3 linked regions of the Ovis aries genome follow. The protein of the gene in region 3 binds, or shares a complex with, the protein of the main gene of each other region. Links are inferred from orthologs where the notes say so. Each region holds a gene or a part of one and is shown on either strand. Other genes may lie near its edges. The genes, in order: UCN, GNA11 and CRHR2.

Region 1 (3,243 bases), on a different chromosome or scaffold from region 3:
GCTTAGAGAAACGAGTGAGCTGGGCTTCGGAATTGCCTTGTTTCTTGGGAGCGCCCGCCCACTGAGCTTTCTTTCCCAGGCACAGGCCAGCACTGACTCGCTCCTGTTGCGGATCCTGCGCACCCGGGTCCTGGCGCTCGGATGGTGAACGACCTGAGCAGAGACCACCGTACCACCCAGCCCGGCGTGGCGCCGCGGGGGAGGGGCTCAATAAAGAGTTAATGCGTCCCGACCCGCAGCTCCTTTCACTGCTCACTCTCTGAGCTTCTGCTTCGGAGACATAGCATCACCATCCATCCTGCCCTTCTCCAAATCTGGGACCTCTTGGGGCGAGGACGGGTGGGGGTGGGGTGTGTGAAGCGGAACGAACCCTTATGGGGCACCTCCTTGACATTAGGCACGGATTCGCGAGCCCAGAGCCAAGAGAAGAGGGCAGGGGGGTGGGGCGGCGACACTGGGGCTTGACTTCCTGGAGACTTGGAGACGATGGGGACCCCAGGACCCTGGCAGAAAGCGGTTCTCACGGAGCCCTCCCACAGCATCTGGTTCCCTCTCGCCGGCCTGGGAGACCCCACTTCCCCGCGGGCTCACACCCTTCTGTGGCTCCCCGCGCCCCCACAACAGAGGCCAACGGCTCTTCAGCACTTTTATTAAAAACCGGTAACGCGGAGAGTGCTCAGGGTATCCCTAGGCCGCTCTAGCCCTGCAGGACTTGGTCAGTTCCTGTCGCTCACGTCTCAACCCTGAGGTGGAGCATGGGGGTCGAGATTGTCGGGGCCCGAGACCCGCCGATCACTTGCCCACCGAGTCGAATATGATGCGGTTCTGCTCGGCGCGCTCCCTCTGGCTCTGCGTCCGCGCGAGTTCCAGCAGGGTCCGTAGTAGGTGGAAGGTGAGGTCAATGGACAGGGGAGGGTCGTCTCGTCGCTGCCGCTCACCTGCCGTCCTGGATCCCCATCGGCCCTGCTCCGCCCGGCGGCGCGGGAAGCGCTCCGCCAGCAGCAAGAGGAGAGCGTGGGCCCCGCCGCCGTGGTTCCGAGTCCCGGGGCTCCAGCGCAGACTCGGATCTCGGAACCCGGCGGCCGCCGCCTCCTCCTCCCGACTCCACTGGCTGCTCCCCGGGCGCAGCTGTGCCAGGAGCAGCAGCGCGGCCAGCAATGCCGCGCGTCCCGCCGTCCTCATGGTCCCGCCGGCCCTGGACACACAGGGGCAGCGCAGTGTGAGGTGCGCCTCGGGCAGTCTCAGGGGACGCCGCTCCCCTTCCCGAGCACGTCCAGCGCCCCTGCCCGGCCCCTGCGACTGCCGTCAGGTGCCCACAGCCTTCCCACCAGCCCCAGCCGCTCCCAGTCCTGTGCCACCCTTTTCTCCCTGCCTCCTTCTTGGGGTGTCGCGTTGGGTGAGCTGAGCGCTGTCCTAGTGCTGAGGGAGTCTGGGCAGACGCGCAGAAGCCACTCACAGTTCGCAGGAGAGCAGAGCCTCTGCACCCTGCAGGATGGAGCTCCAGTCTCTGTCCCTCGGGGAGGGCTGAGGGCGCCACGGGGAACACGGGGTCTGTCCCGGGACCTTCGCCAGCCTTATATAGCGCCAGAACAGCTCCGGCTGACGTCAGCGAGGAACATGCACTGATTGTAGAGCAATGACGGCCGCAACTCTGAGTCCGACCCTATGGCTGCGAGACCCCAGGAGCGCGCCGGAGGACACCAGACTTTGTGTCTCTGGAAATGACACTGGACTCAAGAGAAAGAGAAGCCTTCTGGGGCGTAAAGATTGCTCTGGGAGCCACGAGAGTCCTTCACTCACTTAGAACAGCCAGCAGGGACTAGGGGGACCGGTCAGTCCCCAGACTAGTCCAGATCTCCAACCTTCTCTGGAACAGGAAAGGGAGGCAGGACGGTGGTGCTGTCCATGGTGCTGACCTTGTGCTCAGCCTCTGAAAGGGGCCAGAGACCTTGGGGAAAATGCTGTGCTGCTCAGATCCAGTCCCTTGCCCCAACTATCTGTTCTATAAATGGAGGCAGTCAGGATGGCACTGCTAGCATTCAGCTACCACAATGGTACCCTACCCAAAAGGCAGTTTGAGCTGCCAGGATTCTTGATCTTCTTCCAGCCCCAGGATCTAAATCCTAGGGCTGTCTGTCCGACGTGCCTAAAAAAGAGGGCCTCTCGAGCCGGGGTGCTTTCAGATAACAAAGGCTGATCCATCTGCTTCTTGGTTTGCCTCAAAGCTGAAGTTTAGCCAAGTTAAATTTTCTCCTGGGAATCACAGCAGCAATATTATTTTATCGCAGACCTCTAGGTTAAGATCACTGAGTAGGAAGTAAGAAAACTTGGCTTCTTAGTCTTTTTGAGCTGGTATAACAAAAATATCAAAAGCTGGGTGGCTTATAAACAACAAGCATTTATTTCACCACAGTTCTTGAGGCCAGGAAGTCCAAGATCACAGTACCAGTAGGTTTACTGTCCACTGAGGACCTGCTTCTTCCTGTCTTCTCAGGTGGCCTCTTTTGTAAGCACCAGGTCCCTACCCTCATGACCGAATCACTTCCCAAAGGTCTCACCTCTGATACCATCACCTTGGGCATTAGGTTTTCACCATATGAACTTGGGGAGATACAAACATTCAAATGATGATAGCACATGTTCGTGTTTCTACTCTGCCACTAACTCACAGTGTGGACAGGTCACTTTACTTCTATGGACCTCAGTGTCCTCATCTGTAATAGAAGATTGGGGTTTGGGGGTCTCCAGACTTCTTTCCAAACCCTGGAAAATGAGACTCCCCAGTCATTTTCTGCTGGGTCTTACTCATTGCCTCTGCAGCTTCCAGATTACCTATTTAGAAATATATTTACAGAGGCACCCTATAGAGAGTTTGAGGGGATCTCCCCCAAATTGGAGCTACACTGAGGCTGGGAAGGGTTAGGAAAACAGCTGTCTATGAAGACTGGGGAAAAGTGGCATCTTCCAGGATGAGCGTATAATCTAAAGTTGACAAAATGATGTTTCAACAAATATTTATGGAGTGCCTACTGTGTGGTGCGTTTTAGCCATTTCAATAGGAGTCAGGTTACATTTTAGAGTGAAATGGGCCATTTCAGGGTGCTAACCCCATTAAATTCTGACCAGCCACCGAACCCTGTGAAGACCAATGTGCCCACTTTGAAGAGGTGGTCTGATCCTTCCAGGGTCAAGGTGCATCACTACAAGATGGAAGTGACGGAGTGAAGCCGACTTAGAGCCGGT
Region 2 (3,645 bases), on a different chromosome or scaffold from region 3:
CTGTGGCCACCACTGCCCCCCGCCCCCCGCCCCCTTGCTTTTCTCTGTTCTTCCTGGCAAAGTGACGCTGCCATGTCCCACTCTGGTCCCGCGGTGTCCCTTTTGCTGTGTTCTACCTGGTTTAATTGAGATGCGCCCTGAGCTGTGTTGGACTCGGCACAGGCACTGTGACGTGATTGCCAGTCAAGGCCATCTCGCCCTGTCACCTCACCAGTGCCTTTTGCTCCTGGCCTGGATCACGGCTCTGTCTTCACAGCGGCTTCTCTGCGCTGGCAGGATTTGGGCCACATGCCCTATCCAGGCCCCCCGTGTCTCCAGGGTTGATCGTGTTTCCAGCTTCCTTGGGGTCCATCTTCCGTTTCTCGGTTGGGGCGTGTCCCACTGGCGGTGTCTGTGTCGGCCCCTTGGCCATCCCTGTTGTCCTCGGCCGCTCTCTGGCCTGCATTCAGGGCTCCTTAGTGGTCACTCCCTGCCCGCAGTCCCTGGCTCTGGGTGCAGGCCATGTGCTGGTGTGTGTGAGCCTTGGTGCTTGGCACTGCCCTTGGGGGGCAGTGTGGGGCTGCTCACTCCTCTGGTGCCGGTTCTGAAGATGCTGGCTATGTCTGCCTCAGAGGCAGCGCTCTCTGGTCTCCTGGCACCCTCGCACTCACGTGGTTCACTTGCCTGTCCTGCAGTTGAGGGGCCTCAACACAAGAGGCTGCCCTCTCTACCTTGGCTGACCTGCGGCCTGCAGGGGCTTGGGCTTGAGTGGCCACCGTCTGGTGTTTCCAGTGAGAAACCCGTCCAGACAACCAGCAGGGCATGTATCTTTTTACAGTAGAATTTTATCAAAACCAGTGATTCTTACCCTGGCGATCCTGCCCCCAGAGGACCTTGGGCCCTGTTGGGGAACATCCATGGTTGTTTCACTGAGGGTAGGGGCATCAAGAGGGTGGGGGCAAGGAGACTGCTCCACAGCTCATAGAACCTGTGATGAGCCCAATGGCAGCGGTGCTGGGAGGACCTTGGTCCAGAGGAGACCGCACTGGACATGGTACTCCTGTGTGCCACCACCTCCTGCCCACCCCCACCCTACCCCGTGCAATGATGGTTCGTGGATCTCTCGGGAAGGTGTGGGGTCATCCTCTCCTGCTCCAGAACTGGGGGGCCTTCGTGAGAGTGGGCAACTGGCCCTGGTTGGTGTTGTGCAGAGATAGGAAGGCGAAGGGTGGCATAGGGGTAGTCACCACTTGGAGACAGAACCAGACAAGGACCGAGGGCCTTGATGGATATCCTAGAAAGGGCGGCTGCATGAGGCTCCCTCTTTGTCCAGCTTGAGTCTCGGGTCTCCCCATGGGGCCTCCTGCAGTCAGTTATTCAGACGCAGGTGGAGGGCCTCCTGCTGCAGGACAAGGTGGTCACTCAGACCACAATGTGGGGCACTCAGAACCTGTCTCTTCCCCAGGAACCCGCCTGAGCAAGGAGGCGGGCAACAGATACCTGAGAGAGACCCCCGCAAGCATGGTGATCGGTCCCAGCGCAGGGGGGCTCCTGTCCCCTGCCCATGGCACAGGTGGCTGTGAGCCCCACAGTATGTGGAGAGCATGCAGCCCAGGCCCCCGAGTCAGGGTGAGGGGCACAGGCCACTCAGGGTGAGGAGGATGAGCCTGGGCAGGTGGGCTGGGGTGAGTCTGGGGGATTCTGAGTCCCCAGAAGGGGGCCCTGGGCCTTCGGTCCATGGGTGAGTGGGACCTGCATTTGTCATCAAGTAGGGATTGAGGCAGTGCGTCCTTAGGGTGTAGCGTTCTCTCCTGCTGTGCAGTAAAATCACCCTGTAGCTTAGTAGCCGAAAACCATAGGCAGGTTCTGAGGAGAGGGTTCCGGCATGGCCCCTCACACGGCTCCTGTCTATGTGGGCCCCTGCGGAGCTACCCCCCAGCCCCTGAGAGAGTCCCAGAGAGACCAGGGAGCCCAGTGCCCTCTGGGACTGTCTCGCAGTGCCAGGCTGTCCTTGGTCTGGTTCTGTGGGTTGGAAAGGGGGATCAGGCTCCGGCTCTGCGAGGGAGGTGTCACAGAGATTCCTGGACACATTGAAATGTAAAATTGCTGTGGCTGTACTTGGGGGTGAATGAAAGTGGGGAGATGGGTTTGCCGCTTAGAGGTGACAGGGCAGTGAGGGGCTGAAGCAGGAGAGGCCTGGGGAGCGCTGGCGCCCGTGGGGCCGGGTGGGGCTGGCGCCCGCACGCTGTGCACTGAGTGAGAAAGGGGAGGACGAAGAGGCCCCCGGGGTCCCTCTCGGGGGTTGCAGCTGACTCTGGTCCCCAGCTCTCAGGAGGTAGAGCCTCTGAGCGCCCCTCCCTGAGGTGCGCAAGATGCCAAACTCATGCCCCGAAGGAAAGCTGTTCTGGTTGGAAGCTATGGAGGAGGAGCAGCTAGGGATTGGTGGGACACTGCCATACAGGGGTGCTTGGGACCTGGGAGTGAACCTGCAGCCACCCGCAGTTAAGCAGGTGGCGTCCGGGAGAGGCCAACTTCACTGTTGCAGCCTTGGGTTCCTTGGCTGCGGCCGGAGTTGATTCAGACCCCAGTTGCTGCAGGTGCAGCTGCCGCTCCCCTCCTGTCCCTGCCCACATCATCGTCCTGACCTCCTAAGAGGCTCGGTTCCCTGGCTCCCCGTGTAGATGTGGGTGTGCAGGGGAGGACGCCTGATTCTAGGGGCAGCAGCGGGCCAGGCCAGGCGTGTCCCCGCCTTGCCCCCTCATGGGTGGGGCTCCAGGGCTGGGGTCTCACTGGGCCGTTTGCAGGCACGGGCGAGAGCGGGAAGAGCACGTTCATCAAGCAGATGCGCATCATCCATGGGGCGGGCTACTCAGAGGAGGACAAGCGGGGCTTCACCAAACTGGTGTACCAGAACATCTTCACCGCCATGCAGGCCATGATCCGCGCCATGGAAACCCTGAAGATCCTCTACAAGTACGAGCAGAACAAGGTGAGGCCCAGTGCTGCTGTGCATCCTGCAGCCGTTCACAGCCTGTCCAGCAGGCCTTCCGCGTGCGGAATCGGACCTTTGGGACCCTTCCTCTTTCTTTTGTAATAGCTTTACTGAGAACATTTACATATGAAGTCATCCACTTACAGTGTGCATTTCACTCATTTTTAACATATTCATGGCATTGTGCAACCATTATCTCTAATTCCAGGACACTCTTATCATACCAGAAAGAAACCATGTCCCCATCAGCAGTCACCCCTCCGCACCAACCGCCCCCCCCCGCCACCCCTGTATCCTCCTGCCCCAGCCCCTGACAACCAGGAACCCACCTCCGTGTCTGTGTGGATCGTGTCTGTGTGGATCGGCCTGTTCTGGACATTTCCCGTCGGTGGAGTCACCCTGTGTGTTGTGTGTCTGCTTTTCTCGCTGAGCGTCATGTTCTCAGGGTCCGTCCACATGGTAGCGAGTGCCAAGGCTTCTCTTTGTGGCTGAGTCATGCTCTGTGTGTGCATGGACCACAGCTGTTTATTCATCATCCGTTGAGGGACACGAGGTTGTCTCTACTTTCTGGCTCTTTCGGACATGTCACTGAGATGTTCGTGTGCAAGTTTCTGTTGTGTGCGCATCCTCGTTCTCCTGGGTGTGTCCCCAGCAGTGGAGTGTGGAGTCCAGGG
Region 3 (3,645 bases):
TTGACTTGACACCTATCACATGAGTACCTCTGGGTGCCGGGGAAAGTTTTTCTATTTTAAAACAACGAAAAAGTCAATCTGTCCTGGCATGGCTGCACTTCCTACCTGCTCACTGCTGGCCAGTCCTACTTACTGTTCATTCTCGTAGTAGAGCTTGCCAATGGCCCAGGCAATGACGATGGGGCAGGGGACACCTGAAAGAAGGACAGACACTGCTGCAGTGGACAGAGAGATGGTCAGGACACCCTCTTGAAGAGCAGAGTCGGGGGACCACACAGGGCTAGGACATTGTTTCCAATCATTCAACTGCAGGCCATCTAGGACCTTGGGGGCCCCTGTTCCTAGACCCCTGCCCCACCCCTCCCCCACTCTCAGCTATCCCCTCCAAGCAGGTCAGAGAGATGAGAGGACAGTGTGATTTTCTGAGATTTTTGATACAGAAGTGGAGCTGGCCAGCTTCTCTTTTGAGGAGAGACACAAAGGTCTTTGGATCAGCCACTCCAAGCAAGAAGAGGAGGACCATTTGTGGACTGTGCTCTTGGAGGGACCATTTGCTTTTCCCTCGTCTATATGGAGGAGAGTGCCTGCCTCCTCAGGCTGTCCTGGGGATGGTAGACAGCAATGTGGTCCCGTCCTTGGACCCAAGATGAAAGGAGGTGACCCTGTCAGCAGAATCCTCTCCCCACTCGACCCTGCAGGCCCCCCGGGACCCTCACACCATCCAATGAAGAGGAAGAGCCACTTGCGCAGGCGCTCAGTGGAGTAGGTCATGACAATGGCCGTGTGCAGGTAGCAGCCCTCTACGAACATCCAGAAGAAGTTGGTCACCACGAAGTAGTTGAAGACGGTGGTGACGCAGCGACACCAGACCTGCACAGGCAGGCGGCAGTCAGCAGGTGCCTGGAGCCAAGCCCCCCAGTGCACAGCTCGAGCGCTGACAGAGGGGAGTCATTGAGTTAGGTCACGGACACGGAATTAGACACTCTCGAGTCTCATTCGGGGAAACGTCATCCTTCATCATTTCTCTTTCAGTTTTTCAGATTAAGGGGCCAGGCTCCCCTGGAACCAGGGTGTCTGACTTCTTTCTGGTGATTTCTAATCTCCTTCTTCATAAAAGAAAGTGGGAGTCTGGCTCTGAGCTTTCTGCAGGGAGAGGCTAGAACTGAACAGCACTGCTGTGTATCACTGTCATTTTCTCCAGCACATGTATTGGGCTCAGTAGCCCAGTAACGCGACCCCATAGACTGTAGCCTGCCAGGCTCCTTTCTGCATGGGATTTTGCCAGCAAGGAGACTGGAGCAGGTTGTCATTTCCTCCTCTGGGGGATCTTCCTGACCCAGGGATCGATTGAACCCATGTCTCCTGTCTCAGCAGGCGGATTCTTTACCACTGAGCCACCTGGGAAGCCTATTTTTTCGAGGATCACCTTCAGTTCACAGCAAATCAGCCTGGTTTCCATTTAGGGACGGACTATGAAATTTCATGCAGAAAAAAAATAGTGAGTCAATTAAAAGAAAACTGCTATTGAAATAGTACAGGGTCTGTGAAGGTGAGCCACAGCTCTGGAGGTGATCCTCCCAGATTCCTGGGTTTAGGAAATCCTGGGCTTAGCATGATAGCAGCTGTCTCTGGAATGGAGAAGGAAATAGCAACCCACTCCAGTCTTCTTGCCTGGAGAATCCCAGGAGGGAGAGCCTCGTAGGCTGCTGTCTATGGGGACATGACTGAAGCGACTTAGCAGCAGCAGCGGTCTACTGAGGGAGACTCGCTAATGCTGGGGCCTCTAGCAAGTGGCCATACCTCTCTGAATCTCACTGCATTGTAGAGAAAAAGACAATGCCATCTTACAGGCTGGTTCCAGGAGATGGAGGTGGCAAAGGCAGGCACCATGAAATGAATGCCATTGCCACGTGCCTCCTTAGTCGAGGGGAATTTGTCCTCGTCCCTCTGAGCAGAGTTACTACCACTCCCTCAGAGGACAAGCCTGCCCAGAGCCACCGTGTGCCATGGCCAGGTCTGGCTTCAGGCCAGACCTCTTCTCAATGGACCCTACCTGGCCATTTTTCCTGGGGATTTGTCCCCAGGGCACCCTCGGAGCTGAGAGCGTGGGCAGTGTGGGAAGTGGACTGTGGACGGCTCAGCCCAATAGCCTTGGCTGTCAGAGCATCAGCTGAGCTGATCTCAGCCTCTGTGGCTTCCCCTCATGATCCCAGCCCCAGTCTTAGGCTCCACGTGGCTGTCTGTTTTCCCTGTTCTGAGAAAGTCCTGCTGAGGAGGGACTCCAAAGATCCTCTCCTCCAAATCCTGCTTTCCCTCCCAAAGCTTAACAATGCCTTGTCAATACAAGCCAACAGTGGGCTGCACGACACCCCAAACTGGTTGAATCCCATTGATGCCAAGGCAAGGCTCAACAAGGGGCCAAGTCAAAAGGCAAGCCAGGCTGGGTGTGTGCTCAGAACTAGCCATCCAAAGACAATGTGTTGAGCAGTCTCTAATAGTGGATAGAAGAGCTCTGTGCATGGCTCTGTTTCACAACCTGGATGCTGTATAACAGCGGCTGACACAAATCCAGGGTGGGCAGCTAATGTGCTGTTCTGCTCAATGGCCTGACGGCCCAGTTGCAGAGGCATCATAACAATGTCATCTAACCTTTCTGAGCCTTGGTTTCCATGTCTGGAAAATTCCAGTAGGAAAATTCCTACAACTCTCTGATTGGAATCAAGTGAGCTAAAGCTCAATAGAGGTTAATTTCAGCCCCCTTTCCTCTAAGGGACCTTAGGGAGGTGCTGAATGCACAAGACGGGGAGTGGAACAGGATAAACCAAAGTCTGGTGTCTGGTCTGAGCTGCTCTCAAGACCCCATCTGGAGCCCCATTCCCCGACCCCCAGCTCTGGAGGGACAATGATGTGGTAGAGGTGAGCTCAGGTTCAGGTCCGCATGTGAAGATGGGGTGAGAGAGGTGGGAGCCCCCAGAGCCCCCCGGGGCCCAGCCCCAAACCTCCACCCACGACCTCATTGTTCTCGTGCACTTCGTGGTCGATGAGCTGCAGCAGGAACCACATGACATTCCGCAGGATAAAGGTGGTGATGAGATTCCAGTGAATCACGTTCCGCAGACAGCGAATGCTCCTGTGCGAGACCCAGGACAGCTGTCAGCCGGGACAGGCTGCACCTGGGCTCAGAGCTCAGCTGGGGCAGGGGACAGGGGTCAGCTGGGCCTGTACCCCTCCCTCTGACCCGAGGTGAGGGAGAGACTTAGCTTGGGATGAAGGCAAGGCAGTCCTCCAGAGCCAGCACCCCTTTTGCATTCTGCATACCTGCTAGTGGTCAGTGCTCTGGTGTCTCCCCTGGCCCCTTCTGTCCATTGGCCCCAGGGTTGCCGGAGTGGAGGTGAGCATGTCTGGGATGGGTGAAGGGGATGCCATGGCGGGGAGGGCGGAGAAAAAGCAGGGGTGGGGTGGCTCACCGCAGGGCCAGGAAAAGCAGGAAGGCACCCACGAGGGCTGCCACGGACACGCAGTGGCCCAGGTAGTTGACGATGAGTGCGATTCGGTAGTGCAGGTCATACTTCCTCTGCTGGACAGACAGATAGACACACAGGCAGCTGGAGGCCTGGGGCATGCGGCTGCTCTAGCGATGGCCAC

The links.
Region 1: the proteins of CRHR2 (region 3) and UCN are in contact, whole or in part, in a cryo-EM structure (PDB 7TS0), measured with the Homo sapiens proteins. The link is inferred for Ovis aries from reciprocal best matches to the Homo sapiens genes CRHR2 and UCN. Residues at the interface, in NP_001874.2 of Homo sapiens: Phe68, Asn69, Gly70, Val71, Tyr73, Ile101, Leu102, Asp103, Asp104, Arg107, Asp110, Tyr113, Leu117, Asn120, Trp166, Leu169, Gln170, Val172, Asp173, His174, His177, Glu178, Thr188, Phe191, Asn192, Phe199, Phe256, Gly257, Lys258, Asp265; in NP_003344.1 of Homo sapiens: Asn84, Pro85, Ser86, Leu87, Ser88, Ile89, Asp90, Leu91, Thr92, Phe93, His94, Leu95, Leu96, Arg97, Thr98, Leu99, Leu100, Leu102, Arg104, Thr105, Ser107, Gln108, Arg111, Ala112, Asn115, Phe119.
Region 2: the proteins of CRHR2 (region 3) and GNA11 are in contact, whole or in part, in a cryo-EM structure (PDB 7TRY), measured with the Homo sapiens proteins. The link is inferred for Ovis aries from reciprocal best matches to the Homo sapiens genes CRHR2 and GNA11. Residues at the interface, in NP_001874.2 of Homo sapiens: Arg148, Tyr208, Leu209, Ala212, Ile213, Thr216, Glu220, Lys293, Lys307, Ala311, Phe358, Tyr359, Phe362, Asn363; in NP_002058.2 of Homo sapiens: Arg37, Ile348, Leu349, Asn352, Leu353, Glu355, Tyr356, Asn357, Leu358.

What each region holds. Positions count from the first base shown.
Region 1 is NC_056056.1:34,382,477-34,385,719, forward strand, and holds UCN (urocortin), read right to left. Parts: upstream 2,255-3,243; 5' UTR 1,457-2,254; intron 1,196-1,456; 5' UTR 1,183-1,195; coding exon 793-1,182; 3' UTR 633-792; downstream 1-632. Other genes in the region: TRIM54 (tripartite motif-containing protein 54), read left to right, coding at 80-96. UniProt on the Homo sapiens protein: Acts in vitro to stimulate the secretion of adrenocorticotropic hormone (ACTH). Binds with high affinity to CRF receptor types 1, 2-alpha, and 2-beta. Plays a role in the establishment of normal hearing thresholds.
Region 2 is NC_056058.1:18,490,757-18,494,401, reverse strand, and holds part of GNA11 (guanine nucleotide-binding protein subunit alpha-11), read left to right. Parts: intron 1-2,783; coding exon 2,784-2,968; intron 2,969-3,645. UniProt on the Homo sapiens protein: Guanine nucleotide-binding proteins (G proteins) function as transducers downstream of G protein-coupled receptors (GPCRs) in numerous signaling cascades.
Region 3 is NC_056057.1:67,215,004-67,218,648, reverse strand, and holds part of CRHR2 (corticotropin-releasing factor receptor 2), read right to left. Parts: intron 3,578-3,645; coding exon 3,468-3,577; intron 3,131-3,467; coding exon 3,013-3,130; intron 871-3,012; coding exon 717-870; intron 195-716; coding exon 134-194; intron 1-133. UniProt on the Homo sapiens protein: G-protein coupled receptor for CRH (corticotropin-releasing factor), UCN (urocortin), UCN2 and UCN3. Has high affinity for UCN.